4 linked regions of the Lonchura striata genome follow. The protein of the gene in region 2 purifies or fractionates together with the protein of the main gene of each other region. This does not show direct contact. Links are inferred from orthologs where the notes say so. Each region holds a gene or a part of one and is shown on either strand. Other genes may lie near its edges. The genes, in order: epithelial discoidin domain-containing receptor 1, CDC37, CDK9 and DNAJB1.

What was found.
Region 1: the proteins of CDC37 (region 2) and epithelial discoidin domain-containing receptor 1 purify together in Homo sapiens (affinity purification with mass spectrometry; 3 studies listed by BioGRID and IntAct, with this or other methods). This does not show direct contact. The link is inferred for Lonchura striata from reciprocal best matches to the Homo sapiens genes CDC37 and DDR1.
Region 3: the proteins of CDC37 (region 2) and CDK9 purify together in Homo sapiens (affinity purification with mass spectrometry; 9 studies listed by BioGRID and IntAct, counting the BioPlex papers as one, with this or other methods). This does not show direct contact. The link is inferred for Lonchura striata from reciprocal best matches to the Homo sapiens genes CDC37 and CDK9.
Region 4: the proteins of CDC37 (region 2) and DNAJB1 purify together in Homo sapiens (affinity purification with mass spectrometry; 3 studies listed by BioGRID and IntAct, with this or other methods). This does not show direct contact. The link is inferred for Lonchura striata from reciprocal best matches to the Homo sapiens genes CDC37 and DNAJB1.

The regions. Positions count from the first base shown.
Region 1 is NC_134631.1:71,488-79,159, forward strand, and holds the start of epithelial discoidin domain-containing receptor 1, read left to right. Parts: upstream 1-4,657; coding exon 4,658-4,770; intron 4,771-5,142; coding exon 5,143-5,371; intron 5,372-5,748; coding exon 5,749-5,896; intron 5,897-6,406; coding exon 6,407-6,509; intron 6,510-6,885; coding exon 6,886-7,072; intron 7,073-7,253; coding exon 7,254-7,500; intron 7,501-7,672. UniProt on the Homo sapiens protein: Tyrosine kinase that functions as a cell surface receptor for fibrillar collagen and regulates cell attachment to the extracellular matrix, remodeling of the extracellular matrix, cell migration, differentiation, survival and cell proliferation.
Region 2 is NC_134623.1:1,357,376-1,364,967, reverse strand, and holds the start of CDC37 (hsp90 co-chaperone Cdc37), read right to left. Parts: upstream 3,001-7,592; 5' UTR 2,933-3,000; coding exon 2,831-2,932; intron 1,563-2,830; coding exon 1,281-1,562; intron 1,186-1,280; coding exon 1,080-1,185; intron 791-1,079; coding exon 675-790; intron 221-674; coding exon 98-220; intron 1-97. UniProt on the Homo sapiens protein: Co-chaperone that binds to numerous kinases and promotes their interaction with the Hsp90 complex, resulting in stabilization and promotion of their activity. Inhibits HSP90AA1 ATPase activity.
Region 3 is NC_134624.1:694,197-701,830, forward strand, and holds the start of CDK9 (cyclin-dependent kinase 9), read left to right. Parts: upstream 1-4,620; 5' UTR 4,621-4,655; coding exon 4,656-4,747; intron 4,748-5,305; coding exon 5,306-5,387; intron 5,388-5,797; coding exon 5,798-5,888; intron 5,889-7,305; coding exon 7,306-7,472; intron 7,473-7,634. Other genes in the region: SH2D3C (SH2 domain-containing protein 3C), read right to left, coding at 977-1,628, 3,579-3,618. UniProt on the Homo sapiens protein: Protein kinase involved in the regulation of transcription.
Region 4 is NC_134623.1:2,238,486-2,245,533, reverse strand, and holds the start of DNAJB1 (dnaJ homolog subfamily B member 1), read left to right. Parts: upstream 1-4,042; 5' UTR 4,043-4,138; coding exon 4,139-4,349; intron 4,350-6,324; coding exon 6,325-6,884; intron 6,885-7,048. Other genes in the region: TECR (very-long-chain enoyl-CoA reductase), read right to left, coding at 83-323. UniProt on the Homo sapiens protein: Interacts with HSP70 and can stimulate its ATPase activity. Stimulates the association between HSC70 and HIP. Negatively regulates heat shock-induced HSF1 transcriptional activity during the attenuation and recovery phase period of the heat shock response.

The sequences.
Region 1 (7,672 bases), on a different chromosome or scaffold from region 2:
CCAAATCCCCCCAAAAATCCCCTATAGACTCCATAGGTCCCATATAGGACCCAAACCCCCCCAAAAATCCCCTGCAGACCCCTCGAACCCTCCCCAAATCCCCTATAGCCGCCATAGGTTTCGGATATCCCCAGAAACCACTCCGGATATTCCCCAGATCCCCTCCCCTATAGATCCCCCAAATATCCCCTATAGACCCCCCATAAACCCCTTATTGATCCCCCTATAAATCCCCTATAAATACCCTATAGACCCCCCAAAAATCCCTTATAGACCCCCCATAAATCTCCTATAAATTCCTCATAAATCCCCTATAGACCCCCCCATAAACCTCTTATTGATCCCCCCATAAATCCCCTATAGACCCCCCAAAAATCCCTTATAGACCCCCCCATAAATCCCCTATAAATTCCTCATAAATCCCCTATAGACCCCCCCCATAAATGCCCCATCGATCCCCCATAAATCCCCCATCGATCCCAAATAAATCCCCTATAGATTCCCTATAAATCCCAAATAAATCCCCCATCGATCCCCTACAAACCCCCTATAGACCCCCCATAAATCCCCAATAAATCCCCTATAAATCCCGCATAAATCCCCTATAGACCCCCCATAAATCCCCTATAGATCCCCTATAAATCCCCAATAAATCCCCTATAAATCCCCCATCGATCCCAGTCAGGCCTCGCCCCCCCCAGCCCCCCCCCCATTCCAGCCCCCCCCAAACCCCTTTAAACGCCCCCAGGCCCCCCCGAACCGTCCCGAGCAGCCCCGGCCCGCCCGGGACCCCACCCGCCCCCACCCGCCCCCACAGAGCCCCCACAGACCCCCACAGACCGCCACAGACCCCCACAGACCGCCACAGACCCCCAGAGCCCCCCGGGCCGCCCCAGCCGCCCCCGCCCCGCTCGCCTCTAAAATGGCGCCGCCGCCTCCCCGTCACGGCAGCCGGGCCACGCCCCCACCCCGCGCGCACACAGCGCTGATTGGCTGCTCTCCCCCAGCGACAGCGCTGATTGGTGAAAAGGAGAGGGAGGCGGGGTTTGGGCGGCAGGGGTTGCGGCAAGAAGGGGCGGGGTTACGAGGATGATTGACGTGTGTGCGGAAGAGGCAGGGTTATGAGGATGATTGACGTGTGGGCGGGAAGGGGCGGGGTTATGCGGATGATTGACATGTGGGCGGGGTTACGAGGATGATTGACGTGTATGTGCAATGAGGGGTGGGGGTATGCTAATGAGAAGGCGCGGTTTGTTCGGAGTGATGGCTAATTGGTAATTAATGGGAAATTGTGGTAATAATTGCTAATTAATGGGTAATTATGAATAATGATTGCTAGTTGTTGGGGCTAATAACGGATAATAATAGGAAATAACGATTATTAATTAGGAAGGAATAATCATTTGTGATGAATAATGATTAATTACAGGAAATAATTATTAAGAATCAGGAATAATTATTACTAATTTAAAAATAATTACAATTAGAAAATAATGATGACTAATGACTGATAATTAGGAGATAATTAAAAATATTGAGAAATAATTACTAATTATTGCTAATACTTAGGAAATAATGTCTAATAATTGGGAAATACTGACTAAGAATTACTAATAATCACTATTAATTAGTATATAATTATTAATAATTGAGAAATAATGACTAGTAATTACCATTAAAGATGAATAATGACTAATGATGACTATTAAGGCTCAATAATGATGAATAATGATTAATAATTTGGAAATAATTATTAATAACTCAGAAATAATGGCTAATAACGATGAATAATGAATAATAATTGGGAAATAATGGCTAATAATAACTAATAATCACTAATAATTAGGAAATAATAAATAATAATTAGGAAATAATGACTAATGATAACTAATAATGACTAATAATGACAAAATAATGATTAATAATTGGGCAATAATGGCTAATAACCACTAATAATGGCTAATAATCACTAATAATTACAAGATAATGATAATTAATTGGGCAATAATGGCTAATAACGATTGATAACTACTGACAGCGATGGCTAATTAAGCAGCTATGCATATTAATTAGTTACTAATTAACAAACACCGGAATTTCCCCTCCCCCCTTTCCCAGCTGTTCCCGGGAGCGGCCCCGGGGGGGGAGGGGCGGCAGCTGCGAGGTCACGTGACCCGGCCGGGGCTGGAGGCGGAGGGGGGAAAATGGGAATAAAAGGGGGAAAACGGGAATTTGGGGATAAAAATGGGAATTTTGGGGGGAAAATGGGAATTTTGGGATAAAAATGGAAAAAAAATGGGAATTTTGGGATGAAAATGGGAAAATGGGAATTTTTTGGGGAAAATGGGAAGAACAGGAATTTTTTGGGGAAAATGGGAATTTTGGGATAAAAATGGGGAAAAAAGGCATTTTGTGGGGGAAACGGGAAAGCACGGCAATTTTGGAGAAAAAGAGGAATTTTGGAGAAAAAATGGGAATTCTGGGGGGAAAATAGGAATTTTGGGGGAAATGGGGAAAACAGAAATTTTTTGGGGAAAAATGGGAATTTTGGGGAGAAACAGAGGAAAATTGGAATTGGGGGAGGGAATGGGGAGAATAGCGGGGAATGGGAATAAAAGGGGGAAAATGAGAATTTTGGGAGGAATTGAGGAAAAATGGGAATTTTTTGGGGGAAATGGGAATTTGCGGCGGGGGAGCGGATGAAGCAGGGCAAATGGAAATTTTGGGGGTGGGGAAATGGGAATTTTGAGAATAACAATTCCCCAAAACGGGAATTTTTTGGATAAAAGGATGAAAAAAAAAAAAAAGGGAATTCGGGGAAATTGGGGAATAAAAAGCTCCCAAATAAACGGAATTTTGGGGGTTTTACCCCTCCAAAAAAAATCGGAATTGTGGGAATTTCCCCACTTCTTGTTTTGGGATTTTTTTGGGGAATGTTGGAGTCCGGAAGCCCCCCTGGAGCCCCCCCGGGGGGAGGTCCCGGGAATTTTGGGGGATTTGGGGAGGATCCGGGGGGGATTTGGGAGCGACCAGAAGGAGCCGAGGAGAGCGGTGGGCACCGGCCACTGGGGCTTTGGGAATTTGGGGAAAATTTGGGGATTTGGGGGGCAAATTTGGTAATTTTGGGGGTGTTGGGGGGAATTTGGAGGGATTTAGGAGAAATTTGGGGATTTTGGCGTGTTTGGGGGGAATTTGGGAGAATTTTGGAGGGAATTTGGGGGATTTAGGCGAAATTTGGGATTTTTCGGGGGATTTCGGGGGAACTGGGGGGGAATTTAGGGGAAATTTGGGGGGAACTTCTGGAAATCGGGGGGAGTTTGGGGGATTTGGGGGGAATATGGGGGAATGTTGGGGATTTTTGGGATTTTGGGGGGTCTGGGGGAATTTTGAGAATTTTGTGGGGGGGATTTGGGGGGCTCGGGGGAAATTTTGGGGATTTTTTTGGGGGAATTTCGGATGGATTTTGGGGACACTTGGGGCCCATTTTGTCCGCCCCGGGTGGTTTTAAATGGGGCTGGTGAATATTCATCTTTATGCAAATTACGGGGTGGGGTCAAGCCGAGGTCACGCCCCCTCTGCAGCTGTTGTGGGGGGGAGGGGGGAGGGGGGAAATTCCAGCAAAGGATTTTGGGAGCAGCTGCTGGGCTGGGGGGCTCCCAGTGCTCCCAGTTCCTCCCAGTCCCTCCCAGTTCCTCCCAGTCCCTCCCAGTCCCTCCTAGTCCCTCCCAGTCCATCCCAGTCCATCCCAGTCCATCCCAGTTCATTCCGAGTTCCTCCCAGTTCTTCCCAGTCCATCCCAGTCCCTCCCAGTCCCTCCCAGTCCCTCCCAGTTCCCTCCCAGTTCACTCCCAGTCCATCCCAGTTCACTCCCAGTTCATTCCCAGTTCCCTCCCAGTCCCCTCCCAGTCCATCCCAGTTCATTCCCAGTTCCTCCCAGTTCCTCCCAGTCCATCCCAGTTCCCTCCCAGTCCCTCCCAGTTCCCTCGCAGTCCCTCCCAGTTCCTCCCACTCCCTCCCAGTCCATCCCAGTCCATCCCAGTCCCTCCCAGTTCACTCCCAGTCCCTCCCAGTTCACTCCCAGTCCATCCCAGTCCCTCCCAGCTCATTCCCAGTTCCCTCCCAGTGCTCCCAGTCCCCGGGCTGGGGGCGGGGCCATGGCGGCGCTGCCGCTGCCCCTCCCCCTCCTGCTGCTGGCCGGGGTGGCCGAGGGGACCCCGCGGGGGCCGGCGGGGACAGCGCTGGACCTGGGTGAGTGACCCCTCGGCCACCGCTGGCCCCAGTGTCCCCAATGTCCCCAAGTGTCCCCAAATGTCCTCAATGACCCCTGGATGTCCCCAGTGTCCACCTCAATGTCCCCAGTGTCCCCAATGTCCCCAAATCTCCCAATTGCCCCAAATCCCCTCGATGTCCCCCCTGTCCCTGCTGTCCCCCCAATGTCCCAAATCCCCCTTGATGACACCACTGTCCCCTGGCTGTCCCCAATGTCCTCAATGTCCCCAATGTCCCCCAATGTCCCCAATGTCCCCAAATGTCCTCAATGACCCCTGGATGTCCCCAATGTCCCCAGTGTCCCCAATGTCCCCTGCTGTCCCCCCCGATGTCCCCAATGTCCCCAAATGTCCTCAATGACCCCTGGATGTCCCCAATGTCCCCCCCGATGTCCCCAGGCCGCTGCCGCTTCGCTCTGGGCATGCAGGACGGGACCATCCCCGACTTCCGCCTCTCGGCCTCCAGCGCCTGGTCCGACTCCACCGCCGCCCGCCACGGCCGGTACGCACCAGTAAGAACCAGCATAAACCAGTTTAAACCAGTATGGACCAGTACGGACCAGTATAAACCAGTATGGACCAGTATGGGCTGATAGAAACCAGTATGGAACAGTATGGGCTGATAGAAACTAGTATAAACCAGTATAAACCCCAAACTCCAAATGTCGCCAACTCTCCTGGATGTCCTCCCATCCCTGAGTGTCCCAAATGTCCCCAAATGTCCCCAAACATCCCCTGGGTGTCCCCAAATGACCCCTGGGTGTCCCCAAACCTCAAAATGTCCCCAAATTCTGTGACTTTTCTCACATCCCAAATGTCTCCAAACGTCCCCAAACGTCCCCAGACGTCCCCAAATGTCCCCAAACGTCCCCAGGCTGGGCCGCAGCGACGGCGACGGCGCCTGGTGCCCGGCGGGGCCGGTGTTCCCGGCCGAGCAGGAGTTCCTGGAGGTGGACCTGGGCCGGCTGCACGTGGTGACGCTGGTGGGGACGCAGGGACGCCACGCGGGGGGACACGGCCGCGAGTTCGCCCGGCAGTACCGGCTGCGCTACAGCCGCGACCGGCGCCGCTGGCTGCGCTGGAGGGACCGCTGGGGACACGAGGTGGCCACGGGGACAACGGGGGATTTGGGGGTGTTGGGGACATCGAGGGGGTTTGGGGACATTGAAGGGATTTGGGGACTTTGGGGACGTTAAGGGGATTTGGGGACGTTGGGGAATTTGGGGATGTTTGGGATGTTGGGGGGATTTGAGGACATCAGGGGTGTTGAGGTAGTTTGGGGATATTGGGGACATTGAGGGGATTTGGGGACACCTCGGGGACACCTCAGGGACACCTCGGGGACACTTTGGGGACACCTTGGGGACATCGTGGCGCCGAGGCCATCGAGGACGCCCCGGGAGACCTCGGGCTGTGACAGACCCCGAGAAGTTCCCGGGGTGTCCCGGGCTGACGCCACCCTTGGGTGCTGGCTCCGCAGGTGATCGGTGGCAATGAGGACCCCGAGGGCGTGGTGCTCAAGGACCTGTCCCCGGCGCCGGTGGCCCGGGCGCTGCGCGTGTACCCGCGGGCGCCGCGCGCCATGAGCGTCTGCCTGCGCCTGGAGCTCTACGGCTGCCCCTGGGAGGGTGAGCGCCACCTCACTGCCACCTCACTGTCACCTCACTGCCACCCCCGGGTCACCCCCGGGTCACCTCAGTCCCCTCCCTGCTGGTGGCCCTAAAGGGGTGGTGGTCACCCACGGTTGCATCCAGCACCCAACGGCCCTTGGTGGTGACCCTGGGGCAGCTGAGTTGGGGTCTTGTCACTGTGGGGTCAATGGTTGGGTGTTGAGGTCAATGGTTGGGTCATGGAGTCATCCATTGGGTGTTGGGGTCATCCATTGGGTGTTGAGGTCAATGGTTGGGTCATGGAGTCATCCATTGGGTGTTGGGGTCATCCATTGGGTGCTGGGGTCATCAATTGGGGTCATCCATTGGGTGTAGGGCCAACAGTTGGGTCATGGGGTCAACGATTGGTTGACAACATCCTTCACTGGCTCATGACATCATCATGGCCACGCCCCCAGCCCACCCAATGGCACCTCCTGGGTGTCCCCAAGGGGTGGTGACCTCACGGTGACCCCTCCCCGTCTCCAGCCGGGCTCTTGTCCTACACGGCCCCGCGGGGACACGTCATGGCCCTGGACCCCGCCCCCATCGTCCTCAACGACTCCATCTACGACGGCTTCAGCGCCGGCCCGTGAGTGTCCCCAGGTGTCCCCAGGTGTCCCCAGACCATCCCCAGGTGTCTCCAGGTGTCCCCAGGTGTCCTCAAACCATCCCCAGGTGTCTCCAAACACTCCCAGGTTGTCCCGTGGCAGTCCCCAGGTGGGTGGGATGGGACAATCCCAAGATCCAGCTGTGCCCCACCTGCCCAGGTGTCATTGGGGGGTTCCCAGGTGTCACTGGGGGATCTCCAGCTGTGCCCCACCTGCCCAGGTGTCACTGGGAGGGGTCCCAGGTAGGTGGGATGGGACAATCCCCAGATCCAGCTGTGTCCCACCTGCCCAGGTGTCACTGGGGGGTTCCCAGGTGTCACTGGAGGATCTCGATCCAGGTGTGTCCCACCTGCCCAGGTTGCACTTCGGGGGGCTGGGCCAGCTCTCGGACGGGGTCCTGGGCCTCGATGACTTCTTGAGGACCCGTGAGCGCCACCTGTGGCCGGGCTACGACTACGTGGGGTGGCCGCGGCCGCCGGGGCCCCAGCCCCACGTGGAGCTGGAGTTCGAGTTCCAGGAGCTCCGTGCCTTCCACGCCATGCAGGTGCCCCAGGGGATGCTGGGAGATCTGGGGCACCGGGAACGGTGGGATTGGTCAGCCATGGACGGATGGAGGGGTGGCCACCACGCCAAGGCCACCTCGGGGTCCAAAATGTCCCTCTGGAGAACTTCGGGATTGGCCACCTTGCCCCAGGGCATCATGGGACGTGCTATCACCCCCCCAGGTCCACTGCAACAACCTCCACACGCGCGGGGTCGGAATCTTCCGGGCTGTCGAGTGCCGCTTCAAGAAGATCTTGGCCACGGCCTGGGAGCCCATGGTGGCCACCCATAGCCTGGCCGGGGCCACCAAGGACGCCAGCGCCCGCTGGGTCGCCGTGCCCTTGGGCGGGCGCCACGCCCGCTTCATCCAGTGCCGCTTCTTCTTCGGCGCCGAGTGGATGCTCTTCAGTGAGGTGTCCTTCATCTCAGGTTGGGTGTTGGGGTCAATGGTTGGGTGTTAGGGTCAATGGTTGGGTGTTGGGGTCAGTGGTTGGGTCATGGGGTCATCCATTGGGTGTTGGGTCAATGGTTGTGTCATGGGGTCAATGGTTGTGTCATGGGGTCATCCATTGGGTGTTGGGGTCAATGGTTGGGTGTTGGG
Region 2 (7,592 bases):
TTTTGGGAAAAGGAAAGAATTTGAGGCTACACCTGTGGAAATTGGGGTGCACACGGCCTCAGGGAGGGATTTTGGGGAGTCCAGGGGGGATTTTTACCTTAATTTTGGTGAAAAACTGCCGGAAGCAAGCCCTGGGATCCACCTTGAGGCTCTTGGCCAGCTCCAGGATGAACTGCATGACGATGGTCTGGTGGGCCACCTGCTCCATCAGCGCGTGTTTCTGGGGGGAAAACGGGGTCAAAATCCCCCCAAGATCTCCCAAAATCCCCATTCCCCACTCGGCCAAACCCCTTTTTGGGTGAGGAGGAGGCGATTTGGGTCAGGGAATCCCAAGTTGGATTGAGGATGAGACTGGGTTAGGTTCGATGCTCTTTAGGAGCTGTTTGATCCCAAATTAATCCCAAATTCCCTGATTTTGTGGGCTCCTCATCCCAGAAAAACCCTGGAGCTGCAGGAGAGGTGTCAACCTCTCTCCCAAGGAAAGGTGGGTGCTTCTACAGGATGATTTTAAGGATCTTTTCCCACCTCTCCTGCCTTGTAAGTCCTCAATCCTCTCGGGTTTTTTTTGGCAGGAAAAACGGGAAGAAATCCGGAGAGATGAGAACAAGGCAGCTCCAGCTTGCAAAAGTTGGGGATTTTAGGATTTTTACCCCAATTTCAGCCTGACTGCTCACCTCCTCCACCTCCAGGTCGATGCACCAGATGACCAGGTAGTTGGCTGTCTCCTCGCACACCAGGTGAGGGTTGTCCGACAGGTACTTCTGGCTGTCGTCCCAGCGCCTCAGCATCCCTGCCACCGGGAACCAGGAGAATTCCCCCTCCTCAGCCGGGGAACAAACCCCAAACTCCGCCTGGATGAGGCTGGCCAGGAGGGCGAGCACCTCATCGTGAAATTTAACCCAATTCCCCCCAAACTGTGCTTCAGCGGGGGGAAAAAAATGGGAAAAAGCACACAAAATCCTCAATTTTTCAGCGCAGCGAGAGGATTCTGGGTTGGTCCCACCACGGGGGGTGTTCCCAAGCTTGGAGAACCCCAAAAAGCGTCCCCCAGCTCCCTAAAGCCCCCCAAACCCCCTCACCAAAGTGTTTAATCTGCTTCTCGTATCGCTCCACGAAGGTTTTGTGTTTCTTCTCCTTCTGCTCCTCCGTCTCCTCCTTCTCCTCGGCCTTCACGTTGAAAACACTCTGGGAATGCCAAGGAAGGCAGGGAATGACTTGGGGGATTTAGGACACGCTGGGGGTGCTTTTTTTGGGGGGTTTTCTCCCCAAAAAACCCGCACCTTGCTGAAGCCATCCTTGCTGAGCGTGTCCACGTTCCAGGGCATGTTCTTCTCCTTCTTCCTCAGCTCCTCCAGCTTGTTCTCCCAACTTTTCTCCTCGTTCCTCAGCTGCTGGGCCTCGGCCTGGAGCTTCTCCAGCTCCCCTTTCCCACTCTCCGGCTCGGCGACTTCCAGCTCCTTCAGCTTCCTCTGGCACTCGGCCAGCTTGCGCTTGCACTCGCGGCAGCCTTTATCCAGCTCCTCCTTCTCCTTCTGGAACTGCTCCATGCGCTCCACGCGGGCCTGGGGCGGCAGGGAAGGAGCTGGGGCGCCTCGCTCCCGGGTTTTGGGGGGGTTTTGGGGGGTTCAGGAGGGGCTGAACCCCCAAATCCACCCCAGGGAGCTGCAGCTTTTCCGTAGGGAATTGGGGAGGATCTGGAATTCTGGCGATTCCCACGGCCCAAAGCTGGGTGTGAGCCCTCGGAGGGGTCGCTGCCCCATCCTGGGACACGCAGGGGGATTTTGGGGGGCTGGGACCCCCCCCTCACCCTGAGGTGATTCCCGAGGGAAGGAGCAGCCCCTGGGCACGGCAGGGATGGAGCGGGAGATGCCGGGGGCAGCGGGAACCGGGAATGGGATGGGGAATGGGGAATGGAATGGGATGGGGAGTGGGATGGGATGGGGCACTGGGAATGGGGAACCGGGAATGGGATGGGGCACTGGGAATGGGGAACGGGCTGGGATGGGACATCGGGAATGGGGAATGGGATGGGATGGGGAGTGGGATGGGATGGGGCACCGGGAACGGGAAACAGGGAATGGGATGGGGCACTGGGAATGGGGAACCGGGAATGGGATGGGATGGGGAATGGGGGAATGGGATGGGATGGGGAGTGGGATGGGATGGGGCACCGGGAACGGGAAACAGGGAATGGGATGGGGCACTGGGAATGGGGAACCGGGAATGGGATGGGGCACTGGGAATGGGGAACGGGCTGGGATGGGACATCGGGAATGGGGAATGGGATGGGGCACCAGGAATAGGAACCGGGCCGTGCCGGGATGGGGAACGGGAACTGGGCCGTGCTGGGATAGAGAACCGGGAACGGGCTGGGATGGGATGAGGCACCGGGAACGGGAACCGGGCCGTGCCGGGATGGGGAACGGGAACCGGGCCGTGCTGGGATAGAGAACCGGGAACGGGCTGGGATGGGATGAGGCACCGGGAACGGGAACCGGGCCGGGATGGGGAACGGGAACCGGGCCGTGCTGGGATGGCGGAGCTCCCCGCGGGGGCTCCAGGGATGATCCCACGGGAATGCGGGGAGCCCCCGCCCCACGGGAGCCCCTGGAGCTGGAAAAGAACAACACCCCCCCCCATTCCCCGTCCTGCGGGAACACGGAGAGCCCCCCACACCCCCGGGCTCCCACGAACAACAGATCCCCAGCCCGTGCCTCCCCCGTCCCTCCGGGAATCCCGGGAATTCCGGTCGCCATGGGAACCGGGCCTCCCTGGGCGCGCCAGGCCCGGGGCTTGGGGGCAGAGCGCCGCGGGCCGGGCCGAGCCGCACCTGGTGGCGCCATCGGAAGAGACTGGCGGTGTCGATGTTGGGGTGAGTCTCGTCCTCGTCGTCCGAGACCTCGATGTGGTCCCACACGCTGTAATCCACCATGGCGCGGCCGCCGCCACCTTCCCTCCGGCCCCCGCCCGCTTCCGCCCGCGCCTGACGCACTTCCGGCGCCGCGCCCGGCCTCGCTCGCCGCCCGCGCCAAGCCGCGCCCTCTTCAAAGATGGCGGCGGATTTAAAGAGACACGAGCACACCCCCCCACACACACACACACAGGCATGCGCCATGGTTTTTACCTGCGGGTGTAAAGGAGTCAATAGAATGAATAAAGTCTTTCAAACTATTTTAAGGGTTTAAGTTGAAGGAAAATCCTGATTTGAAAAGGTTTAGTTAACTAGGAACCCCTACTTTCTATTATTTTAGGATTTAGTTGACGATAAATCCTATTTATTAATTCCTTAAATACTTAAATTGAGGAGGGATCTGTGCTTTCCATCGTTTTTAAGCGTTTAAATTGAAAGAAAATCCTGCCTCTTCAGTGATTTGAAGAGGTTTAGTTAACTAGGAATCCCTACTTTCTATTATTTTAGGGATTTAGTTGAGGATGAACCCAAATTTTTAATTACTCAAATAGTTAAATTGAGGAAGAATCTGTGTTTTTCATCGTTTTTAAGGGTTTAAATTGAAGGAAAAGCCTTCCTCTTCCATGATTTGATGAGGTTTAATTGACTGGGAATGACTACTTTCTATTATATAGGGATTTAGCTGAGGATAAATCCAAATTTTTAATTCCATAAATAGTTAAATTGAAGAGGAATCTCTGTTTTCCATCGTTTTTAAGGGTTTAAATTGAAAGGAGATTATTTATGGGACGTTTTAAGAGTTCCATCAACAGGGCCCCTCGATTTTAAGGGATTTTACAGGGAAAATGGTGTCAAAAAGCCCCAAAACTTGTGTTTCTTGAAGGAAAACCAGTAAAGGGAGGAGGAGGCCTCTTGTGGGGTTAAATTGAGTAGGAATTCCATTAAAAATTTAAATTGAGGCAGGATCCAACATTTTAAGGGTTTAAATTGAGGGAAACTCCACCCTTTTCACCATTTTTATGTCTTATTTTGGGAGGAGACCCCCTTTATCCACCATTTTAGGGGTCTAAACATAGAGGGAATGCCTTTTTCCATTTTTGAGGTTTAAACTGAGGGAGCAAAACCTTTTTTTCATTGGTTAAAAGGGTTTAATTAGAGGGGTTACTTAGGAGGGGAAAAAGGGGAGAACAGGAGGGGAAAAGGGCAGGAAATGTGAGGGGAAAACGTGGGAAATGTGAGGGGGAAAAGGCAGGAAATGAGAGGGGAAATGTGAGGGGAAAAGGTGAGAAAGGTGAGGGGGAAAGGTGAGAAAGATGAGGGGAAAATGGGTGGAAAATGTGAGGGGGAAAAGGACGGGAAATGTGAGGGGTAAAGGTGAGAAATGTGAGGGGGAAAGGTGGGAAATGTGAGGGGGGAAAAGGGCAGGAAACATGAGGGGAAAAAATGCAGGAAAGGTGAGGGGAAAATGGGTGGGAAATGTGATGGGAAAGGAGAAGGAAATATGAGGGGAAGAAGGTAGGAAATGTGAGGGGAAATGTGAGGGGAAAAGGGCAGGAAAGATGAGGGGGAAAAGAGAGGGAAACATGAGGGGGAAAGGGTGGGAAACATGAGGAGAAAAAAAGGCAGGAAATGTGAGGGGGAAATGTGAGAAATGTGAGGGGAAAATAGGCAGGAAATGAAAGGGGAAAATGGGTGGAAAATGTGAGGGGAAAAGGTGGGAAATGTGAGGGGGGAAAGGTGGGAAATGTGAGGGGGAAAGAGAGGGAAATATGAGGGGGAAAAAGGTGGGAAATGTGAGGGGAAAGGGTGGGAAATGTGAAGGGGGAAAGAGTGGGAAACGTGAGGAGAAAAAAGGCAGAAAATGTGAGGGGGAAAAAAGACAGGAAATGTGAGGGGGAAAGGTGAGAAATGCGAGGGGAAAAAGGTGGGAAATGTGAGGGGGGAAAAGGGCAGGAAACTTGAGGGGAAAAAATGCAGGAAAGGTGAGAGGAAAATGGGTGGGAAATGTGATGGGAAAGGAGAAGGAAATGTGAGGGGGAAAAGGGCAGGAGAGGTGAGGGGAAAATAGGGAAATGTGAGGGGAAAAGAGAGGGAAATGTGAGGGAAAAGGGAGGGAAACGTGAAGGGAAAATGGCAGAAAATGTGAGGGGAGAAAGGTGGGAAATGTGAGGGGGAAAGGTGAGAAATGTGGGGGTGGAAAGGGCAGGAAAGGTGAGAGGAAAAGAGAGGGAAATGTGAGGGGGGAAAAGGTGGGAAATGTGAGGGGGAAAAGGATAGGAAACGTGAGGAGAAAAAAAGCAGGAAAGGTGAGGGGAAAATGGGTGGGAAATGTGATGGGAAAGGAGAAGGAAATGTGAGGGGAAGAAGGTAGGAAATGTGAGGGGAAAAGGGCAGAAAATGTGAGGGGGGAAAAGGGCAGGAAACTTGAGGGGAAAAAATGCAGGAAAGGTGAGAGGAAAATGGGTGGGAAATGTGATGGGAAAGGAGAAGGAAATGTGAGGGGGAAAAGGGCAGGAGAGGTGAGGGGAAAATAGGGAAATGTGAGGGGAAAAGAGAGGGAAATGTGAGGGAAAAGGGAGGGAAACGTGAAGGGAAAATGGCAGAAAATGTGAGGGGAGAAAGGTGGGAAATGTGAGGGGGAAAGGTGAGAAATGTGGGGGTGGAAAGGGCAGGAAAGGTGAGAGGAAAAGAGAGGGAAATGTGAGGGGGGAAAAGGTGGGAAATGTGAGGGGGAAAAGGATAGGAAACATGAGGAGAAAAAAAGCAGGAAAGGTGAGGGGAAAATGGGTGGGAAATGTGATGGGAAAGGAGAAGGAAATGTGAGGGGAAGAAGGTAGGAAATGTGAGGGGAAAAGGGCAGAAAATGTGAGGGGAAAAGGGCGGGAAATGTGAGGGTGGAAAGAGAGGGAAATGTGAGGGGAAAAGGGCAGGAAATATGAGGGGAAAAGAGCTGGAAGCGTGAGGGAAATGGCCGAGAGTCCCTCAGCCATCCAGTCCCGGACGGACGCACCCTCCCTGCAAAAATCACGTACAAATTCTGCCTTTTAAATTTTTTAATTGATTTTTTTTTTTCCCATGAAAAATACAAAGAGTCGAGTCCAGGGGTGGGGGCCGGGGGGGTCCCGGTCCCCTCCGAGGGGTCCCGCAGTGCCACCAGGGTGGGCACCTTTTGTCCCCACGTTGGGCCCCCCAAAAATGGGCCGGGGCTGAGGTGGGGACCCCTTATTGCTACTGAACTGGGGGTCCCCTGGCCCCCTCCCCAAATTCCAGGGCTGGATCCCTGGGAGAGGGGGTGGGGGTCAGAGTTTGGGGGGGTGGGGGGTGTGATGGCGGATCTGGACACGGGGGTCGCTCCTAAATATTTATATTAATAATAATTAAAACTACAAGAAGCTTCACACAGGCACGACACAAAAAAACCAGGAGCTGGGATGGGATTGGGGGAGGGGTCTGGGGGGAAAAAAGAGGGTCCCGGGGAGTACCAGGATCAGGGGAAAAAACAGGGAAGAATAGGAAATAAATGGGAAATAAACCACTGAAAAGTGAGAAATTATCCCGACAGCGAAGGGAAAATAAATAAGAATCGCAATAATAATAATAATAACATCAATAATAATTAATAAGAATAATAATTAAGAATAATTAAGAATAATAATGACGATAAAGGAGTATGGGGGAACTCAGGGTCGGGGCTTTTGAGGTGGGGTTCCGCCCTTTTTTTGGACAGGAGGCTCCAAGTGGCCAAACTCCAGAAAGTGGAGTAATTTGGGGCAAAAATTGCCCATTTTGGAGAATTTGGGAAGGGAGAGGGGGGAAGTGTGACAAGACACATCCTCTCCCTCCCAGATTTGGGGGTACCAGAGGAATCCCTGGAATTTCAGTGCCACTGACCCCCCAGAACTTGCCTTGATCCCTCTTGGGGTTCACAAGCTGCTTCCAAGGAACTCGGGGAGCACAAAACAGGTTCTCACCCTCTCTGGAACGGCGATTTGGGGGATTTTGGGGGATATTTTTAATATTCTGCTATAAAAATAGATGGATTTGGGTCAGCGGCTCCCGAGGAGTCGCCGCTCCCTGCGTCAGTCACGCTCCTCCTTACCTGATAACGGGTAACAGGTCTAATTAAACACGTGGTAAATCCTTATTTTTTGTTCTTTCTCCCCAAAAATTCCTCCCCCTCCCCCAGAAAATTAAGGGAAAACATGGAAAGAAGGAGAGAGCGAGAAGACGCCCCCCCCCTCTCACCGCTGGAGTCCTGGAGTGGAGGGAAGGGGGGGCACAGCCCCCACCTGGACACACCTGGATCAGGTGAGGGGGGGACACCGCTCCAGGTGGTCCGGCCACTGCCGGAGTGGTGGGGTTTGGGGTACCCGGGGGAGGGTCCCAGGTGTGTCCACAGTGTCCTGGGGGGGTCTCCAGGCTTTCCAGGGCCCCTCCCAGTGCCCTGGAGCACCTGGAGGATTCCTCAGGGTGCCCATCGGGGACAGGTGAGGGCGTCCAGGTGTCCGGGCCGTGCCTCAGGTGTCCCCACGGTGTCCTCAGTGGCCATGGAGGGGGTCTCCGGGGTCTCCGTGGTGTCCCCACGGTCTCCAAGGTCTCCAGGTGCGTTTCTCCATCCTGGAGACCCAGGATGTCCTCGGTGACCATGGAGGGTGCCCGGGACCTGAAGTTGGGGTTCTCC
Region 3 (7,634 bases), on a different chromosome or scaffold from region 2:
GACCCTCCTCCTTCCCGTCCCAGCCCTCCTCCGGCCCACCCTTCGGGCCGCCAGGAATGTGTGGTCGGCACAGCCCGGCTCCCACCGCCGAATTTCTCCTCCTCACCCCGCTCCCGGGACCACCCGGACCTCAGGAACGCTCAGTGTCAGGAAAAGGAGCCCCCGGCCCCGGGGCGGTGCAGGGGGAAAGGGACACCGGGGCCACTTGAGCGCAGAGAGAGGAGAGTCAGGCCAGGGAAAGGGGGAGAAATGTTTTCGGGAGAAATTTGGAGTTGCCTTTGCCTGTGTCCCCAGTTTCGCACACCCTCCTGGGCTGGGGTCGCATTTGGCCCCTTATGCCCAGATGCCATGGGGCTGGAGGATAAAAATCCCTAAGGTTGATTCTGCGGTCAAAACCCTCCAAAAAATCCATCCGTCATCTCAGAGGGCTGAACCTCCAAATTCCCCCGGAGGGAGAGATTGTGCCTGGAGTGGGGAATTTGTGCCCAGAGTGGGGGTTTACTGGTAGGTGATGAAATAGGGACGGAGTGTCTGGTTTCAGGATTTGCCCCTGTGCCTTGGGAGAGGCAGCGCTGCTCGGCAGAGGGGGAGAGGACAGAGGGGGTGGAAAAGCGGAGAGAGGCGGAGGAGGCTGTAACAGTGCTGCTGTGAGCTCTCCGCAGCAGCACATCCTGGTGCTGGAACGCAGCCGCCGCAGGACAAAGAGATGCCGGGGCAGAGCGGGGCTGCGAGATGTTTCCACCCCGTCCGGAAACAGGAGGGAGCAGAAATCCCACAGGAAACCTCGTTCCCATGGAGCCGCTGACCTGACCGTGCTCCAGCTGTGTTGTCCCACCGGCCAGGTGCATCCCGCTGGCACTGTGGGCACGAGGGGACATTGCAGTGACCCTGGTTGGTCCCAGCCCCCTCCTCTTGCCCTGTGGGGGAGCAAAATGGGGGTCTTAGCAGAAGGCAGAGCAAACCTCAAGGGTTATACCTGTCTGGGGAGATCTTGTCAGGATGCTCTTGTCCCTTTTCCAGCAGATCCCCATCAGTGGTCTCTGCTCCAGCTGCTGTGTCAGGGCTTGTGGTTTGGCTGGGGTTTGGAGCCAGGCTGGAGCTCAGTGTCTCTGCCCTAGGGCAGGAGACGTTTCCCACAGGCTCCTGGTCTGTCCTGTCCATTGCTGCCTCCACGGTGTCCCCAGGTTCAGCTTTTTCCTCCTCCTGCCCTGCTTCTCCAGCAGTCAAGGGTGAGTCTGTGCCTGGGGCAGGGGTGCTGGACATCTCAGGGCACTTGAGGCTGGGGAGTGGGGCTGCCTGGGGGGTTTTGTTGTTGGGAGTCCCTTTCTCCCAGCAGTTCTGGCTACTCTTGTCTTTGCCCAGGCTCTTCCCTGCCTTGCCCAGATTCACCCTGGGCATGGTGCCCATGTGGGAGTACATGTTCGACGACTGGGCGTAGGGGCCAGGGCTCTTGGGCACGGTGTTGAGATCATCCTGGGTGCTGTCAAAGGGCTCTCCCAGGAAGCCGTGGGGAGGTGGGACATGTGCTCTGAGATTGTCGGCACAGCTGGGGTCCACAGGGACGCGCCGGAAGGTGAAGGAGCGGGGGATGCTGCTCAGGCTCCCAAAGCCTTTGAACCTGAAAAACTCTGGCAAGGAGAAAGGAGTGATGAGTGTGGGGTTACTGCTGGCATGGTGTGATGATGGGGGATCCCAGAGCCCCTGGTCCTGGGTTGGGCTGAGCAAGGAGCACTATGCAGCCTGGTGTCACCCTGTTACACCCACATCTGCAGGCCCAGCTTGGCATGATATCCCTGTGGTCTGTGGTGTACATGATGCTGCTTGAGGCATGTCTGTTGGGTACCTGGGAACTCTGCCCTGGTCCCTCGGGGAGCAGAAGTCTCCTGTGCCTGGCAAATCTAGCGGCTGTATCTCCCTACCACGGCTGAGGAGGGGAGGAAACACCCAACCCTGGTGAGCAGGCAACTCTAAAAGTTATTTCTAACACCTACTTCCTCCAGGGGCCTCTGGGCAGAGCTATGCCCATCCCCGCAACCTTAGGGCAGCCCTGCAGGATGCAAGAATGGGCCACACGGCATCTCCCTAGGGAATGGGGGTCCTGGATGCACATGACCTGCCCACATGTGCATGTCGCCGGCACGATGGAGCAGGAACCAGCCACGGGCGCTGCTGCGGCAGCAGATAACCTCCCCACTTCCTCGCCCGGCCCCTCGCCAGCTCCAGCTGCCACCTGCAAGTGCTGAGCATGAACATGTTCGCCGGAGAAATATTTATAACTGCGGCGGGCGGCTTTGCATTTCACACCCCAGCCCCAGCTCGGCTCTGTGTGTCACCGCAGCGCAGCCTTGGATGGTGCCGGTGCCGGTGCCGGTGCCGGTGCCGGTGCCGGTGCTCGGGCTGAGCGAGCCTGTGGCTGCAGTGCTGTTGAGCAGCGCTTCCCTGCCGCCGTGGTTCCCACCGGGGATTTTGCAGTGCTGATGCCGCCCCGGGGCTCTGCGAAGCACGGCAGATTTGCTGGGGCAGGAAGCGACACTTTGCAGAGGTGCTGAGCAAGGACCAGGGTGTCCCGGGCTGCTCAGCCCCTGGATTCCCACCTCCAGTTGCCATCCACGGGTTCTGTGGGGCATCCCTGCAGCTGGACAGGGTGGAGGGGCTGCATCCCAAAAGCCCCTCTGTGAGGCAGAAACCTCATTGAGTGCAGTTAGAGGCAAAATTACTTTGTGCTAAACATCCCCTTGGAGTCCAAGCATCTTCTGCTACCTGCTGCTCCTGGGGCTGCTGAAAGGTGGGAAAGGCAGCCCTGAGGATTTTCTCAATTTCCACGCCACTCCACCACAAAGGAAAATCCCAGCTGGGATGGGGCCCTGGGTTTGGCCAGTGGAGGGGTCCCGGGGGAGCAGAGGGACTGACCCCCCTCTGGCGCCAGCCCCGTGGCAGGAATGCAAGAGCACAGCCCAGCGCTGGGAATGGGGTGAAGGCCACTGCAGCCTCCCCCCGGAGCTCCGGGGGAAAGCTGAGGTCTGTGAGAAAGTGCAGAGCTCGCTCCCGGTGGGTATCAAGCACTTCCTCCCAGAAGAGCCGGTGGGAATCCATTCCCAGGCTCCCTCCCCAGCTTCTCTGTGTCACCCCCGTCCCTGTGCTGCAGGAGCACCCTGGGGTGAGGGTCCTAGCCACCCCTGGCCCCCAGCACCATCTTGTACCCAAGCCATGCACCCTGAAGTTGGTTTAATGATTTAAGGAGTGAAGAATCTCCAAATCCTGCTGTGCATCCCTCTGCCCACATCCCAGCATCCAGCACAGGGCTGTGCTGCAGCATACTGGTCCCAGTCCCTGCACCCAGCTCCTGAGCCAGCACCCAGCCCTGTGGATGAAAACCTCAAAGTCCCTCACCCCACTGAGTTTCCTAACAAAAGCAGAGGCTGTCACAGCTCCAAACATCCCTGGATTGGGATGACCCCATCCCTGGATGGGATGACCTGGGGAGCGTGTAAGCACACACTCAACACTAACTGTCACACATCCTCCTACCCACCGAGACGTCCAGGTGAGCCCGCCCACCCTGTGCCGTGGCCACTTACTGAATTTCTTGAAGCCCCGTCGTTTCTGGCCCTCGGCCATGGCCGTGCTGCTTGGAGGCCGCGGGGACTAAGAGGGACAAGTATATAACTGTGAAGCCCTTCCCTGCCTGCTCCTCCCTTCCTGCCCCCCCAGCCACCCCGCTCATCGCTCGCTCAGCATTTCCTCCCCACTGCTGTCATCTGCTCCCTGCCCCGCTGCTGTCCCTGCCCGCCCTCGCGCTGTCCCCACAGTTCCTGAAGTCCCCGTGGCTGCTTGCACCTGCCTGGCTGCTCGAGAGTCACCTCCGCACCCCGGTTTGGGGACATCTGCCAGATGTGGACAACCAAAAACCTCTGGGTGCCAGCCCTGAAAGAGGGTTCCAGCCTCATGGAAGAAGGTGGCAGCCTTAGGAGGAGCGTGACAGCCCTTTGGGTGAGGGTGCCAGCTGTGTGGGTGAGGCTCCAGCCCTGCAGACAGAACTCTGCCGTGCACGTCAGATGCTCAGCCCGTGTGGGATGAGAGCTGGGTGGCGTCGCTGCCAGCAGGAGCACTCCTCACCAGCCACTCTCTCCTTCTGGGGACAGTGCTCCATTACAGTGTGGCCATGCAGGACAAGGTGGCCTGGACCCAGCAGGGGTCTGCTGTCTGTGTTTCCCTCAGCAAGCCGCTGGCAGCCACCTCTGCCACAGCTCGGTCCTTTGGTGCTGTGCACCTCGGGGACCGGTTTCGAACAGCCTGAGATGGAGCTCTTTGTCCTGCACCTGAACACAGTCACGGCCAGGGGAGGAACTCAGGGTCCCCTGAACCAGACCCTGGAGTCCTCCTGCCTGGCCAAAGCCTCCCTGCGTCAGAGCCGCAGCTGCAGGAGCAGAAGCCTTGTTTAACTCCTGACGTGCTTAAGCACACACGGGGCACCCAGCAAAGCGCTTTAGGGCCACGGGGAGCGCTCGGGGCTCCCGGGCCACGAGGAGGGACAACATGGCGGCGGCCCCAGGGACTGCAACACCCACAGGGCCCCGCGCGGGCGGGCGGGTCACGTGACGGCGTCACGTGGCGGAACGGGCGGGACGCGGTGCTGTGGCAACGGCGCGGCCGCCATGGCCAAGCAGTACGACATGGTCGAGTGCCCCTTCTGCGACGAGGTTTCCAAGTACGAGAAGCTCGCCAAGATCGGGCAGGGCACCTTCGGGTGAGTGCTCGCCGGCCCCGGCCCTCCATGACCCGCCCCGGCCTTCCCCAGCCTCAGGCCTGCAGCTGGGCCCAGCCCGCGGCCCATCGTGCCTGCCTCGGGTGCTCCTTGCTCGGTGTCCTTTCCCCTGCCGCCCCTCTGCCCTCAGAGAGCCAGTCTGTTTCCTGGGCCCTCTTTTCCCAACCTGAGGTCCCGCTCTGTCCCAGCTCTGCCAGAGCAGAGTTAACCTTGAAAACAGTTAGGGTGGCGACCTGTAACTTGCCTCCAAATGTGCAGCTTGGCTCCAAATGTACAGCTTTTTGCTCAAAATGTGCTACATTACTGGAAATCCTTGTAAGGCTGCAAGAGATCTGGGCTCTCTGTTGGTTCACTGAGTCCTGAGGGCCTTTGGCCCAGGGGAATGTGGCTATATTGGCTCAGCACAGAGTTCTCTGTGTGGTGCTTTAGTGTATCTTGTTTGGGCTTGTTCCTTGTGGGGGCACCTGGCTCCTTTCTCCTTGTGCTGCTCATGGATATTTTTTAAATTTTTTTTTTTTTTTTTTTTTTTTTTTTTAACAGAGAAGTTTTCAAAGCTAAACATCGCCAGACAGGCAAGAAAGTAGCACTGAAGAAGGTGTTGATGGAAAATGAGAAAGAAGGGGTGAGTGTGGGGCATGGCTGGGTTGGGCCTGTTGTCACCTGGGCTGCAAAGGCACATGGCAGCAGCGAGGGGACTGGGCTGCATGGGATGGCTGCTTCCCATGTGTTTCTTCTCCTCTGGGACCCTGAGCACAGGGCTCCACACTGGCTGTGTCTGTGGAAGAACTGGGTGATGTGTCAGACACATGCTCAGGGGTTGGGGAGAGAGTTAAGAGCTTAAACAGCAAAGGCAGCAGCCAGGGAGGCTGTTCTGCAGCTCAGGCTGGGCTGTACCCTGTCCTAGTGTGAATATAAAAGGTGAGGAGAGGAGGGGAGGACCTGTCAAGCTGCATGGTCACACCTCCTGTTCTCTGGCAAAGATGGCCTTGTCTCCTGCATCTCCAACCTCCATTCTCTCTTTCTCTTTTCCAGTTTCCCATCACAGCCTTACGAGAGATTAAAATCCTCCAGCTGCTCAAACATGAGAATGTGGTGAACCTCATAGAAATCTGCAGGACCAAAGGTACTTTGCAGGGTGTCCCTTGTGTCAATGATGGCTTTTCTGAGCCCTGCCAGTGGTGAGCAGGCTGGTGTCTTGTGCTGGGAGTGGAGTGGTCTAGCTGAGCATGGGCCTCTCTTCCTGCCTGTGACATGGGGTGACAGGTTACTTACCTTGGAAAAGAGTTCCTAAATGAGTCAGGACGTTGCTGAAGCTCAGATGGAAAAAGCTGTTGTAGTCCTGCCAGGATATGCCTGTGCTGGGAAGCTCCTTCTGAGAGGCTTTAAACGAACAAGCACTTTGGAGCAGAGGCTCCTCAGCCTCTGTATCTGGTGTTATTTAAAAAGTCCAGTCACTGAATGGGCAGAAATGTCTGGCCTAGTGATGGGAAATTCAAGATACTCCAGTACACTGAATTGTGTGTAGATTACTGTCTGAATAGGTATGAGTGAAGACACCAATGACAAGTTAATTTGTAATTCACTCTGTGATTAAAAGAGCTGCCATGATTGGGTGTCTCACATACCAAAAGTAAATATTTTTGTAGACATGTCATTTGTTCCCTTTTTATGTTTTGTTTGTATTCCAGTTTTTATCCAAATCTACCTTGACCTCAGTTTGCAGTAAAGTAGAAATGTTTCATTTACTGTTGTCAAACATGAGGCTTTTCTCTTTTTGTGTTGGAAAGGCGTGTTTGGGGCTGTGTCTGTGTGAGGAACTGCAAACTCAGTGTAGCAGGCACCCTCCTGGGGAGGAGAGTAGTGTGCTTCTCTGGGGGCTAAGCTTTTCCGGCTGGAGATGCTGATCAGCAGGTTTGCTGATTACAACTGATGAAAATCAGCTTTTCTTTTTAATAATGTTTTGCGTGGGTGCTCTAGGAACAAGATTAAAATCTCTTAAAGTCTGCTATCTTATCACTTAAAGTCTTCACTTAAAGTCTGCTATCATTCAATTAAAATTGGAGTTTTATATCACTTTGATCAAGATCAGTCCGTTTTTGCAGATCCTGTTTGAGGTTGCAGGAAATCTCACTTTTTAATGTGAGATTAGACAGATTTTCTGTGTTTCTGCATTTTTCCCGGGGCTGTCTGTGGGTGTCTCCTCTATCTCTGGTGCTTGGCTGGCAGCCACAGCTTGCAGGGAGGAAACCCCACAGCCGTTACGTGCCCAGAGCTGCACGAAGTGAAGCTTTCAAAGGTTGCCATGCCCTTTCCTTGCCTTTCTGATGACATTTGCTGCACCAATCCTCATCTCCCGTTCTTGTGTTGCTAGTTTTTGCTCAGTTCTTTAAAAAGGACCTTGAGGCCTGCAGGCTGTCTGGTTCTCTGTGTTCCCGTGCCCTGAGATTCTGTGTAGGGGGTGTTGTATGAGTGGGAGGTGAGAGGAGCTGTGACCCAGTGAAAGGTCCCTCACTGGCAGCCTCTCTGTGCCTCTCCCGCAGCCTCTCCGTACAACCGGTGCAAGGGCAGCATCTACCTTGTGTTTGACTTCTGTGAGCACGACCTGGCTGGCCTTCTCAGCAACGCCCATGTCAAGTTCACACTGTCAGAGATTAAGAAAGTTATGCAGATGCTCCTGAATGGACTTTACTACATCCACAGGAACAAGGTAATGGGAAAGACTTCTGCTGTGCTCAGAGGGTGACTTTCCAAGGAGCAGGTGTCTTAGCACAGGCTGGAGGGAAATCCTTGTTTCCCACCTCTGCAGCCTGAACATTGTGCTGGCGCAAGGCACCTAAGGAGGGCACTGCATTCACTTAACCCTTCAATA
Region 4 (7,048 bases), about 880 kb from region 2:
ATCCCCGATGTCCCCATGTCCTCCTGTCCCCCCATGTCCCCAATATCCCCCCATGTCCCCCTGTCCCCCGCTGTCCCCTCACCTTGTCGAGGAAGCAGAGCTTCTCCCGGCTGCGGGCGTCCAGGATCTCCACCTCGAAGAAGAGCACGGCCGATTTCTTGGGCCGCTTGCCGGGGGCCACCGCCGGCCACAGCGCCGGGCCACCCTCGGGTGCCACCGCCACCTCCATGCCACCGAAACCCGAGCGGCCCCGCCAGCGCTAAATATAACCCGCCCCCCCTTGGTGGCCCCAAGGTGGCCCGAGGTGGCCCCGAGGTGGCCATGAGGTGGCCCTGGAATTGGCTCCGAGGTGGCCCTGGAGGTGGCCCCGGGCTGGCCCTGGAATTGGCTCTGAGGTGGCCCTGGAAATGGCCACGAGGTGGCTCCGAGGTGGCCCCGGGCTGGCCCTGTGGTGGCCCTGGAGGTGGCCCCGGGCAGGCCCCGTGGTGGTCCCGGGGTGGCCCTGGAGGTGGCCCCGTGGTGGCCCCGAGGTGGCCCTGGAGGTGGCCCCGGGGTGGTCCTGGAGGTGGCCCTGGAGGTGGCCCCGGGCTGGCCCTGGAATTGGCTCTGAGGTGGCCCTGGAAATGGCCACGAGGTGGCTCCGAGGTGGCCCCGGAGGTGGTCCCGGGCTGGCCCTGTGGTGGCCCTGGAGGTGGCCCCGGGCAGGCCCCGTGGTGGTCCCAGGGTGGCCCTGGAAGTGGCCCCGTGGTGGCCCCGGGGTGGCCCTGGAGGTGGCCCCGTGGTGGCCCTGGAGGTGGCCCTGGAGGTGGCCCCGTGGTGGTCCCGAGGTGGCCCTGAGGTGGCCCTGGAGGTGGCCATGGGGTGGCCCTGGAGGTGGCCCCAAGGTGTCCTTGGAGGTGGCCCTGGGGTAGCCCTGGAGATGGCCCTGGAGGTGGCCCCGGGGTGTCCCTGGAGGTGGCCTCGTGGTGGCCCCAAGGCGGCCCTGGAGGTGGCTCCGAGGTGACCCCGGGGTGGCCCTGGAGGTGACCCCGGGGTGGCCCTGGAGGAGCCACCGGAGCGGTGACGGTGGCAGCGCCGGTGGCGCTCAGTGAGGGGGGACAGCGGGACCCGTCCCGGGGTCACCGCGGCCCCTCCGGGCTCTGCACCTGCCCGGGACCCTCCGGGACCTTCCAGAACCTTCCGGGACCCTCCGGGACCTTCCGGGACCCTCCGGGACCACCGGGAGTCCCGGGAGCCCAAGCCACGCCCCCTTAATAGCCACGCCCCCTTGACAAACGCCACGCCCTCCATAGCCCCGCCCATAGCCAGCTCGCCCTCCCGCCGCGCATGCGCACATCACGACGCCCACCGCACATGCGCGCAGCGCGTCCCGGGCGCCCCGGGGTGGAACGCGCGGGTTCCGCGGCGCCGCCGCGCTGCCGCCGTGCGGGGCCGGCGGCGGCGGCGCTGGGGGCCGCTCCGGTGGCGGTGTCCGGGCCGGGCCGCGGGCGGCGCGGCCGCCTCACCTCGTAGTGCTTCATGGCCGCTGCGCTCCGCCGCTCCCGCCGCCCCCGCCGCCCCCACGTGACCCGCCCCTCACGCCGGCGGGGGGGCGGGGCCCGCGGCTCGGCCAATCGGCGGCGCTCGCGTGGCTGGGCGCGGCCAATCAGGAGGCAGCGGCCCCGCCCGCGCGCTCGCCCCTTCCCGCCTCGGCGGTTGCCGGGGCGACGCGAACGCCCGAGGGGGACTCCGCCAATGGGAGGCGGGGGCGGGGCGTGGAGTGACGGCCGCGGCAGCCAATGGGATCGCGGAGGGGGTGGGGCTGAGGGTGGAGTGATGGCCTGCTCGGCCAATGGGCTCGCGGGAGGGGCGGGGAGTGGGAGGGGCAAGCAGCGCATGGGGGCGGGTCTAGAGGGGTCTGAGGGGTCTGGGGGGTCATGGGGGGTCTGGGGGGTCATGGGGGGTCAGGGTGGCCATGGGGAATGGAGGGGTCAGAGGGGCTGGGGGGGTCTCAGGGACTGGGGGGCTGCGGGGTTTGGGGGGGTCCGAGAGGTTTGGCGGGGTCCGAGAGGTTTTGGGGGGTCTGGGGGGCCATGGGGAGGGGAAGGGTCACAGGGACTGGGGGGATCTGGGAGATCTGAGAGGTTTGGGGGGGCTGGGAGGCCTGAAGGGTCTGGGGGGCCATGGGGGTTCTGGGGGGGTCATGGGGACTGGGGGTTCACAGGGACTGGGGGGCTGCGGGGCTTGGGGGGGTCCGAGAGGTTTGGGGGGGTCTGGGGGGGTCTCAGGGACTGGGGGGGTCATGGGGACTGGGGGTTCACAGGGACTGGGGGGCTGCGGGGCTTGGGGGGGTCCGAGAGGTTTGGGGTGGTCTGGGGGGGTCTCAGGAACTGGGGGGGTCTCAGGGACTGGGGGGTCCGAGGGAACTGGGGGGGCTGCGGGTTTTGGGGGATCTGAGGGGTCTGGGGGGTTCCAGGGGTCCGAAGGGTCACAGGGGGGCTGGGGGAGCTGGGGTGGTCGTGGCAGGCTGGGGGGTCCCGAGGACACGCGGGGACACCGTGGGGACACCGTGGGGACACCGTGGGGACACCGTGGGGACACCATGGGGACACTCTGGGACACGGTGACCGCGGGGCCACGGGGACAACGGCGTGGAGGGACCTGTCCCTCCCTGTGTCCCCGTGTGCCCGTGTCCCTGTCCCCAGTGTCCCCAATGTCCCCAATGTCCCCAATGTCCCCATGTCCTCATATCCTCCCCGTTCCCATCCCCGTTCCCGTTCCCGTCCCGTTCCCGTCCCGGTCCCTCCCGGCACCTCCGCCGGTCCCTCCCCGGCTCCCGCCCCGTTCCCTCTCCCGGTTCCTCCGCCGATCTCTCCCCGCTCCCTCTCCCGCCCCTTTCCCGACCCCTCCTCGTCCCCCCCGCTCCTTCCCCGGTCCCGTCTCCGGTCCAGCCCCTCCTCGACCCATCCCCGGTCCTTCCTCCGGTTCACTTCCATTCCCGGTCCATTCCCGGTCCAGCTCTGTTCTCCTCCATCCCTCGGTCCTTCCCCGGTCCATTCCCGGTCCAGCCCTCTCCTGCTCCATCCCTCGGTCCTTCCCCGGTCCATTCCTGGTCCAGCCCTCGGTCTCTCCATCCCTCGGTCCTTCCCCGGTCTCTCCCCGGTCCATTCGCGGTCCCTCCCCGGTCCAGCCCTCGGACTCTCCATCCCTCGGTCCTTCCCTGGTCCCTCCCCGCTCCCTCCCCGGTCCATTCCCGGTCTATTCCCGGTCCAGCTCTCTCGCACTCCATCCCTCGGTCCATTCCCGTTCCATTCCCGCTCCATCCCTCGGTCCATTCCCGTTCCATTCCCGCTCCATCCCTCGGTCCATTCCCGTTCCATTCCCGCTCCATCCCTCGGTCCATTCCCGGTCCCAACCCCATCCCCATCCATTCCTCGGTCTCTCCCCGGTCTACCCCCGGTCCCTCCCCATCCATCCCCGTCCCTCCCGTTCCCTCCCTGTTCCTCCCCGGTCCCACCTGGTCCCTCCCCGTCCCTCCCCGGTCCCACCTGGTCCCTCCCCGTCCCTCCCCATCCCTCCCCGGTCCCTCCCCATCCCTCCCCGTCCCTCCTGGTCCCTCCCCGCTCCATTTCCATCCCTCCCCGTTCCCTCCCCGTCCCTCCCGGTCCCTCCCCGTCCGTCCCCATCCCTCCCCATCCCTCCCCCATCCCTCCCGTTCCCTCCCCATCCCTCCCCCATCCCTCCCCATCCCTCCCCATCCCTCCCGTTCCCTCCCCGTCCCTCCCGGTCCCTCCCCGGTCCCACCTGGTCCCTCCCGGTCCCTCCCCATCCCTCCCCCATCCCTCCCGGTCCCTCCCCATCCCTCCCCCATCCCTCCCGTTCCCACCTGGTCCCTCCCCGTCCCTCCCCATCCCTCCCGGTCCCTCCCGTTCCCTCCCCATCCCTCCCCCATCCCTCCCCGGTCCCACCTGGTCCCTCCCCGTCCCTCCCCATCCCTCCCCGGTCCCACCTGGTCCCTCCCGGTCCCTCCCCATCCCTCCCCCATCCCTCCCCGTTCCCTCCCGGTCCCTCCCCGCCCCCCCGCCCCTCGGGGCTCCCTCGCCGTGCCCGTCCCGCGGAGTCTCTCGCCGTGCCCGGTGCCAGAGCAGCGGGGCCGGCCATGGGCAAGGATTATTACCGCACGCTGGGGCTGTCCCGGGGCGCCTCCGCCGCCGACATCCGCCGCGCCTACCGGCGGCAGGCGCTGCGCTGCCACCCCGACAAGGACCGCTCGCCCGGCGCCGAGCAGCGCTTCAAGGAGGTGGCCGAGGCCTACGACGTGCTCAGCGACCCCAAAAAACGGGAGATCTTCGACAAGTACGGGGAGGAGGGTGAGCGGCGGCACCGGCGGGACGGGGGCGGCCGGGACGGGGGGCACGGCAGGGGCGGGGAGGGGAGCGGGGCTCGGGGGGTCCGGGACCGGAGGGGATTTGGGGGGTCTGGGGAGGTCCGGGCCGGGGGGCTGGGGGACACCGGAGGGGATTTGGGGGGTCGGAGGGTCGGGGGGGGTCCGGACCGGGGGGTTGGGGGACACCGGAGGGGATTTGGGGGGTCAGGGGGTCGGGGGGTCCGGGCACGGGAAGGGATTTGGGGGGTCGGAGGGTCGGGGGAGGTCCCGGCCAGGGGGTTGGGGGACACCGGAGGGGATTTGGGGGGTCAGGGGGTCGGGGGGTCCGGGCACGGGAGGGAATTTGGGGGGTCAGAGGGTCGGCGGGGGTTCGGGTCGGGGGGCTGGGGGACATGGGAGGGGATTTGGGGGATCGGAAAGGGACAGGTGATGGGGACAGGTGAGGGGGACAGGTGACAAGGACAGGTGACAAGGACAGGTAAGGGGGACAGGTGAGGGGGACAGGTGAGGGGGACAGGTGAGGGGACAGGTGAGGGGACAGGTGAGGGGACAGGTGCCAGGGCCAGGTGCCAGGGCCGGGCCCGTGGGTCGGGGGGCGCGGGCATGGCCAGGGCAGGTGTGACACGCACCGGGCGGGCGGGGGGCTCCGGGGCCGGTATCCCACGGGGGTCTCCGGGGCCGGTATCCCCCGGGGTCTCCGGGCTCGGTGTATCCTACGGGGGGCTCGGGGCTCGGTGTCCCCGAGGTCTCCGGGGCCGGTATCCCCCGGGGTCTCCGGGCTCAGTATCCCCCGGGGTCTCCGGGCTCGGTGTCCCCGGGGTCTCCGGGCTCGGTGTCCCCGGGGTCTCTGGGCTCGGTGTCCCCGGGGTCTCCGGGCTCGGTGTCCCACGGGGGTCTCCGGGCTCGGTGTCCCCGGGGTCTCCGGGCTCGGTGTCCCCGGGGTCTCCGGGCTCGGTGTCCCCGGGGTCTCCGGGCTCGGTGTATCCCACGGGGGGGGCTCCGGGCTCGGTGTCCCACGGGGGGCTCCTGGCTCGGTGTATCCCACGGGGGTATCCGGGCTCGGTGTCCCACGGGGGGCTCCGGGCTTGGTGTCCCCGGGATCTCCGGGCTCGGTATCCCCCGGGGTCTCCGGGCTCGGTGTCCCACGGGGGGCTCCGGGCTTGGTGTCCCCGGGATCTCCGGGCTCGGTATCCCCCGGGGTCTCCGGGCTCGGTGTATCCCGTGGGGGGGGCTCCGGGATCGGTGTATCCCACGGGGGTCTCCGGGCTCGGTGGATCCCCCGGGGGTCTCCGGGCTCGGTGTATCCCGTGGGGGGGGCTTCGGGCTCAGTATCCCCCGGGGGTCTCTGGGCTCGGTATCCCCCGGGGTCTCCGGGCTCGGTATCCCCCGGGGTCTCCAGGCTTGGTGTCCCCGGGGTCTCCGGGCTCGGTGTCCCACGGGGGACTCCGGGCTCGGTGTCCCACGGGGGGAGCTCCGGGGCTCGGTGTCCCCGGGGTCTCCGGGCTCGGTGTCCCCGGGGTCTCCAGGCTCGGTGTATCCCGTGGGGGTCTCCGGGCTCGGTATCCCCTGGGGTCTCCGGGCTCGGTATCCCCCGGGGTCTCCGGGCTCGGTGTCCCCGGGGTCTCCGGGCTCGGTGTCCCCGGGGTCTCCGGGCTCGGTGTCCCCGGGGTCTCCGGGCTCGGTGTCCCGCGTGGCGGCCCCGGCGCCGGGCCAGCCGCCCGGGGGTGGCCGCCGGGGCGCCGGGGCGTGCCGGGGGGAGCCGAGCCGGCCGGGCCTGTCGGAGCCCGTCCGGGACCCGTCAGCGGCGTCGGCGGCGCGGGCAGAACCGGTTCCCCCACGCCCTCGTCCGCTCCACGCCCTGCCCGCGGCTCACCCCGGGGTGGGGTCTGATGGGTGCCTGGGGTGCCTTCATCCATCCCTCACCACCCTCCAACCCATCACCCCCCAAAAACCTTCAGGGCTGAAAGGGGGAGCCCCGACCCCCGGACCGGGTGGCGGCACCGGTCCGACGTTCACCTACACCTTCCGCGGCGACCCGCACGCCATGTTCGCCGAGTTCTTCGACGGGCGCAACCCCTTCGACACCTTCTTCGCGCAACGCAACGGCGACGACGAGGATGGAGACGAGGCCTTCAGCACCTTCCACCTGGGCGGCTTCGGCAGCGTCAGCTTCCCGCGGGCCCGGGGCGCCGAGGGTCGCCGGCAGGACCCGCCGGTGCTCTACGAGCTGCGCGTCTCCTTGGAGGAGATCTACAGCGGTTGCACCAAGAAGATGAAGATCTCCCACAAGCGCCTGGGCCCCGACGGGAAGACGGTGAGGAACGAGGACAAGATCTTGACCATCGAGGTGAAGCGAGGGTGGAAGGAGGGCACCAAGATCACCTTCCCCAAAGAGGGCGACCAGACGGCCACCAACATCCCGGCCGACGTGGTGTTCGTGCTGAAGGACAAGCCGCACGACGTCTTCCGCCGCGACGGCTCCGACATCGTCTACCCGGCCAAGATCAGCCTGAGGCAGGTCGGTGGTGGTGGTGGTGGTGGTGGGATGGGGGTGGTGAGAGGTCAGGGTGGGTGGGCTTGGGGACATCAGGATGGGTGGGCATCATGGGGACATCACAGATGGATCGTCTTGGGGACATCAGGGATGGGTTGGGGACGTCAGGATGGGTTGGGGACATCAGG